Linked DNA regions of Coturnix japonica. The protein of the gene in region 1 purifies or fractionates together with the protein of each later gene. This does not show direct contact. Links are inferred from orthologs where the notes say so. Each region holds a gene or a part of one and is shown on either strand. Other genes may lie near its edges.

Region 1 (3,658 bases):
CCCAAAATGCTGTGCTGAACAACACAGCCTATTAGAATGTATATTTAGGACAAGGGGAAAAGACTGGATGAGGATAGGTTTAGCTTGTGTATTAGGAAGAAATTCTTTACTGTGAGGCTGGCGAGACAACAGATTGCCTGGAAGACTGGCCCTCCTCTGGAAGCATTCAAGGCTAGGCTGGATGCGGCTGTGAGCAACCTGGTCTAGTGGGAGTGCCCCTGCCTATAGCAGGGGGCTGGGTTTAAATTGACCTTAAAGGTCCTTTCCAACCCAAACCATTCTGTCATTATATGAAAATACTGCATCCTATACATGAAGTTGGTAAACTAAGTGTGTGTGTACATGTACAAAAGAACATGTTGCAGACATTTCAAGCAAGAGTTCAGAAATTTCTAGAAATAATGAGACTTCTGAGGAATCTTGTCATGGCTTTCAGTGCAAGGAAAGAATATGATAGCTAAGACACATGAATGGGGCAACATTCAAATTTAAGGTTGCACAAGTCGGGTTGAAAGATGTAATCATTTGTAATCCACACTGTGAAAACGGTATGGAAGATTCTTGATACAATTTATCAGAAACTTCACTAGGAAAAAACAAAAGTAGCTGCCTTACTCATTGCAGCTTCAACCTTTTCGTATTGTTTTCCTGACACTTCACATATTCCACAATTCAGATTCAGTAAGAGAGTATGCTGATTAATTTAGTCTGAGGTGCTTACTTCTGAATAGAGTGGTGGAGGCAGAAAGCGGAATTCTTGGATGTACGCAAACAATGGTCCTTGCAGCGCTCTCTCAAAGTCATCACAAGCAGCTACAGGAGGGAGGCTGGACTGTCTCTGTTCCTCTGTGACCACTTCTGCATAGCTGGGAGGTGCTGCAGGGAAAAAGTACACGCAGTTCAAACAACAGTTGTTATGCATTTCAAGATACATGAGAAATATTAAACTTATTATTCCAAGATGCATTGGCAGGTAGACAAGTGACTTCAGTGACAAAATAAAATTGTTGAAGGAAGACTAAGAAAGGAGTAAATTTATTTTACTTTAACGTTATGCTCATGTTTATTAACAGGCCAGCATCTGCTTACTGCGGCTTAGTTAACTCCTCACCCTTTAAATACTCATATTTAAAGCACAACCTGAACTCTGAGTGTATCTGTACAGGTTAAGTATGAAGGAACTGAATGTAACCCTTTACTCTAGAAATGTACGACTTAGTAGTAAAGTGATGTTTATCAAATATGTGTGAGAACACAGAAAGAAGCTAATCCGTTGTTAAGGGAGACTTCCCTTTGACAAGAATAGCATCTTCTCACTGAGACAAGTCAGTTAAGACTGGTAAAAAACAAAAACAAAAAACCCACCAGAAACTGGATTTATTATGGAGTTACAATGCCTTATAACTAAAGATGCAATTAGGATACTGGAAAGGGAATCACTTCTATACAGGGACACAGGAATCCTGAGATTTTGCCTTCAACAGTTTCTACACAGCTGGATGACAACTATTTTTCCTAGAAAGAAAGTCAAGGACTAAGTGAATTCTGATCGAGCTCATAAAGGTGGCAAGAAAGCATCCACAAGAGACTTCCTGTCACCTTCATTATAAAAGGATGTGGTCTGGGTCTGACAGCAATGAACAAAGCATACTAAATTGAAAGCAACAAGACTAGCAATTTGATTAGGATTTATGTTGTGACATTACCTTCTGGTCTTTCAGGCAGTGTCAGACCAAGCCAGTTCATATTCATGCTACACTGGCTGCTCACACTTGATGTCCTGCTACCAAATGGGTGTAGAGGAATGGTACCAATGACCAGTGGTAAGTTAAGGAATAAATCCATGGCTCCTGGAATATCAACGTAGACCTGAACAAAACAAACAAAAAAATATGTATGATTACAGTGTACACTTGAGTCAATACTTAGTCTGCTAACTCTTTTTGCCATGAAATTCTCCAGGAAGAACTTATCAACTTCATGGTGCATGTCTTTAAGGAGACAGATTCCACAATTTATAAAGCAGGATTCTTAATCTGAGTCCACACACAAAAATATCTACTAATGACATGTTTGTTTAGATAACAAATCACAACTGTTTAAAAAACCTTATGACTGAAGTAAAATTCACTTGCAAAACTCCTGCTGGGACACTAGTACTAGCTACTAGGAAATGTAGTCTCTTGTAGCTAACATAGAAGGCTTCACTAGCAATTTTTTTTTTAAGCACAGTGGAAACTAAACATGCTTCTGCATACCATTAGTGAATACTCCACACGGATTATACTACAGTCAAGGATTGAAGGAGAAACAGGTGGAATTTTCAGCGCTTTCCCATTCCAGGTTTCTGTTTTGCCAGATGATAAAGATTCTCCACGCAGGTTGGCAACAAGCTGTTTGACTTCCTTCATTTTCCCCTTGGCATAAAATGCCTGTGTTTGGTAAATGGCTGCCTTTGGCACCACCACACGGGAAGAGCAGTTCTCAATCTCAGCAAAGATCTGAATTGATTCACCTGAAACAAAACAGAATTTAATGTAATGTTTGCATTTACTAAGCATCTTAAGTGAACTGCCACTTGATACTGTTACCACACATTAGACTCTGCTATACCCTTAGAAACATCCATTGTTCGTAAAAGGATAGGATCAGCATAACCTAATCTAGAAAAAATAATGAATAACTCAAAAGGAAGCAAACATCGTTCAACAATCTGCAAACAAAACTAGCATTCTTCAACAATAAACTGAGATGATGGCTAAATGCAGACTGAGATGCTAAGAGTAGTTGTAATATTTTGTTTATATGAAAGCAGTTTTAAAAGGGAAGGAAAAACACTTCCTATAATTACTTTTGTTACGTACCTGGGGTGTAGCCCTTCCTTTCAATTTTGGCACTTAAGGATATTGGGCCTGAGGTACAAAACCAACAACAGAGAGTCTTTTCTTTTGTGCCTGCTTGGGGTGACTGCAAAAAAAGAACAACATTGGCAGTTTAATCGAGAGTTCCATGAATCTGCTTGTATATTTTAATCCATACCTCCAAATTATTTGTCATGTATTTATTGTTAATTGATAAGCAAAGTTTGTTCCATTTATAATTAAAAAACCTCAAGCAATTTAAATGGTCCAACACAGATACACGGCACATCCTATTTCACTGCTCTTTCAGCGATTTTTTTTTCTGCCACCCTCTAAACTACTGTCATTTTTAAAACAGTGTGTGACTGGAAAATAAACACTGTGTGGCTTGGAAGACTTTATAGCCTACATATACCAACATATTGTTGGCAAAGCTTCCTACTGGAAGGCCTTCCCACTTTCCATTACACAGCATTTCAGAAACAATAACTAAGTTTAGGTACCACAACCTTAGCTCTTCTGATTTCTCCTGTTTCTGAACAATCCTGTCTCATCTATAATGAACAGACTTTAATTTTATGTGGTATCAGGATTTCGGACTTGATCCAAAGCCCATTAAAGTCAAATGGGAGTCCTTTGATTTTAATGGAGTTTGTGCAAGGCCAATGTTCTGCAAGTCTGGTTTTTCACTCATACACACAAGAAACCTATTTCAATGGACTTTTTTTTTTTTCCCCTCCCACAGATTAGTTTAAGGGGGAAAAAAAGAAATCTTAAGCCAGATTGAAATCAGCTCC
Region 2 (3,658 bases), on another chromosome or scaffold:
CAGGATGATTAATCAGGTGCAGTGGCTTTCAATACTTGTGTTAACACAGTATTGCATGAGCAAGTCAGTATGTGAGCATTTATTTCAGAATTCTCATCTGTATTACAAGGAGGCCCTTGCTGTTTCTTAGCTTCACATCCCGTGTCTTGGGTAAGATTTATTACAAAATCTATGGAATTTTACTACTTGCATCCTTCTTTTTTTAATTTATTCTGCCATACTCCGTAACCGATACCCTTTAGTTCAGTTATTCTTTGGAGTATTTCTGTTTCTTGGGAACAGGTAACTTAAACTCTCCAGGATCTCAGCTTAAGCCCAGGGGCAACATCTTAGGAACACGAAACAAAACAAAACTTATATTAAAAAAAAAATAATTAATTAATTGAAAAAAAGTGGATTTCTCCCTGCAGTCATCCAACATTTTTTTATAATGTTGTAATTCAGAAACATAAGCACACACATCCAAAAAAGCTCAGTGTTCACAAACACTGTAAGGTTTCCTTACAAATACTGCACATTTTAACACAGTAAGTTAACTGGGAACAGAATAAAACTGAAACAGGACTCATTCTAAAAAGAAAAAAACAAAGAACAAAAACACAGTAAAGACCACCTCTATCACCTACCACTACATCGGGTTCAGCAGACCTGCAGTAGTAACTGACATTTTCATCTTAATAGCATAATAGCAACACTTCAGTCAAGTAACTGGTTGCAATAGTCAGTGGTTATCCACATTATGGATAATAAAGGAAATGCACTTTACCTATGATTTTCTTGTTAAAATTCCTTTGAATCCACTTCAGATTCTAGAAAAACTCGTGCTCCAGCTTTTGGGCATTCCTGCACAGCCTGCAAAGTTCTCCCCCATTACTTCACGCCTGCACCGCTCTCTCCTAGCTCACAGCCATTCTGCTTATATCATCCCCTAATCTGCATTTGTCTGTTTGATTTTTTCCTAAATAAGCAAAATTATGTACTCCACAATCCCTATTTTCAACAAAGCTGAACTACATGGTAGAAACTTTCTGAAATAACTCTGTCTAGAAAAATTTACTGGCACAAAATAAAATTAAAATCCAATGTAAGCATTAGTCTTTGTCAATGAACTGAACTGAGATCATAGTTTTACTAATATAATTTCTACCCATAACAATTGCCAAAGCTGCCAGTTCTACCTCCTTACTACATTAAGGGGAGCTAAAGAACTAACCAAGACAAGACTGTAAAAGCAAGCAGTTACTTTCTGAATTGAATGACATGAGAAATCATAATTAGAATGCCATTAAAAAAAAAGAAAAGGAAAAAATAACACTTCCAAATAAATTTTATTTTACCTTGCCAATCCACCATAATCCAGTCCTTCTTCTCCTCTGAATATAACATATAATCTTCTCCTCAAATCATAGGGTTTTAATGCCATAATCTATCAAATGAACAAAATTCATACTGAATTATAAATGATGTATTTTCAATGCAATTGCTCCCTCAAATTTAGATTTAATTGTTACAGATAGACCACATAGGATAAATGTTTACAGGGATTTGAAAAGCAATTACAGCAACTCATGGAACACGCAGTCAAGGAACTGAACAAAAAAATACCAACTCAGATTGAGTAGCAGACTGTGAACAAGGAGCAGAGCTTATCTGGAAATTATCACTACATGGTTGCCCTTTTCTTATACAGCTCTGAAGGTACACATTATCTCCCAGTCTTAAAGGAAAATTGGGTAAAAGGCTTTTCATCTCACATACTACAGATGTTTAGAAAACTAACCTAAAAACGTGCTTTCCTCTGATCTGAAGTGAAATATACTTTCATTGATAATACACTTTTAGTTTAAGAGGAGCCTACTCAAAGAGGCTTTGATGTAACAAGGGCAGGAAGCATTTGATCACTACAAAGAAGAAGGAATATACACTGGCTACAGACTGAAGCTGAAAAACTTGAGCTTATAAACGTAACAAATTTTGCGGTCTTACTTGCTGGAAGGAATCCTCAAACAAAGTCTGTCTGGATACATTGATTTTCACATGGCTTGGCAGTGCATTGGACTGTAATCATAAAGTAATAATGTTACAAGGCAGAAAATACGTTTATGAAAATTCAAAAAGTCTCAAAAACTAAGTAATTACTTAATCAGTACCTGACACAAGTAACGGAAATGAGCAAGTTTCCACCTAAAGCTACGCTCATAGGCAATCTGTGGCCCTTTATTTCTGTAAGGGAATATATTTGAGACACATTAACCACACAGACATCAAACAGAACTTTCAACACTAAACAAGAGTTTGCAGATTTCAAAAATGCACAAAAAATTGCAATCGTAAGATATGATCAGAAATGGAAATTCTTAATATATGTCCCAACTCCTTTTTGTATTATTTCCCAAATAAACTAAACATTTGGTTGGCCAGTCTTCCTTTCCTCACCCTTGCCACACATACCTTTTTGCTGCTGCTGTTAAAGATACTATTCAAGTTAAAGATACTACTCAAGGGTAGAGATTCTGAGGATTTCAAGTATTTATCAATTTCATAAAAATTAAAAGCCAGATAAAGGAAAGACATCTACTATATTGTCTTCACTGAGAAAGGCTGCAGTATGAACTTAATCACATCATAATCACCAGGGGTTAACATAGGTTATAAAGGCTTCATTGGTTTGAGGAACCAAGAAGAAATTTATACTAGACCAATCTACAGGTTCTTTGAAGGAACTGCCACTGATGCATCAAAGGTAAGCCATAAAAATGCTACTATACACAAAAGGCATTAAGACAGACACCATCAGCTGGGTCAACATATCTGATTACCCTATTTAGAAATAGAATATCTGCAAGTAAAATTTTGACAAGTATTGAGAACTTGATTGTTTAGCCATTAATATTATTAGAGCGTATATAACTATAAGCAATGCATCTTACAATCATTTGTTGTTTCCATTAAAATTGTCTTTTAGTTAAATTAGTTGAATTTACAATGTACAGGCTTACATCACTTCCTTTCTCAATTTATAGTGTAATTAAAATCTTTGTATTTGAACAGTGCATAAAAACTATTGAACCTTACAGTAATATGGTGAAGTGTGGCACAGAGAAACTGACAATTAAAAGTTTAAATTAGGTTTACAAGAAAACAATATGTTCAAAATTTATTGCTCAATTATAGCTAGAAGCATAGACTGTTTTCTGGTATAAGAAGAATTGCATCATTGAAATGTAACAAATGAAAAAGTTAGAAAATACTTTTACATTTCCTCACTTACACAGAAGACTTCCCGGTACGAGGATCATTGAAGGTGGTAGTTCTTGTATTATGATCAACAAAGTATCGTACACCTTCTCTAGTGTATCTGATTTCCCAGCCCTCTGGAAGAGGGTCCTCATTTTGTAAACTGCAGAAAAAAAATTCAGGCAGTGATGTTTGCCTCCTGCCTATATCATGACTTTTAAAGCAATGATTAAGCAAGATCTTTTCATTTATACAGTCAATATACACACCTACCCTTGGGTTCGAGGGTCTTCCCACTGTGTTGTCTTTGTGTTATGATTTACAAAATACACCCTATCATTTGAATCCACTCTCCTTTCTAGGGAGAAAGAGAAAACAAACAAACAAACAAACACACACAAACTATACAATAATTGCAGTC

The links.
Region 2: the proteins of ARRDC3 (region 1) and WWP1 purify together in Homo sapiens (affinity purification with mass spectrometry; 4 studies listed by BioGRID and IntAct, counting the BioPlex papers as one, with this or other methods). This does not show direct contact. The link is inferred for Coturnix japonica from reciprocal best matches to the Homo sapiens genes ARRDC3 and WWP1.

What each region holds. Positions count from the first base shown.
Region 1 is NC_029547.1:52,957,208-52,960,865, reverse strand, and holds part of ARRDC3 (arrestin domain-containing protein 3), read right to left. Parts: intron 2,968-3,658; coding exon 2,865-2,967; intron 2,516-2,864; coding exon 2,259-2,515; intron 1,870-2,258; coding exon 1,707-1,869; intron 877-1,706; coding exon 722-876; intron 1-721. UniProt on the Homo sapiens protein: Adapter protein that plays a role in regulating cell-surface expression of adrenergic receptors and probably also other G protein-coupled receptors.
Region 2 is NC_029517.1:111,480,835-111,484,492, reverse strand, and holds part of WWP1 (NEDD4-like E3 ubiquitin-protein ligase WWP1), read right to left. Parts: intron 3,596-3,658; coding exon 3,511-3,595; intron 3,401-3,510; coding exon 3,272-3,400; intron 2,224-3,271; coding exon 2,151-2,223; intron 2,059-2,150; coding exon 1,987-2,058; intron 1,427-1,986; coding exon 1,338-1,426; intron 1-1,337. UniProt on the Homo sapiens protein: E3 ubiquitin-protein ligase which accepts ubiquitin from an E2 ubiquitin-conjugating enzyme in the form of a thioester and then directly transfers the ubiquitin to targeted substrates.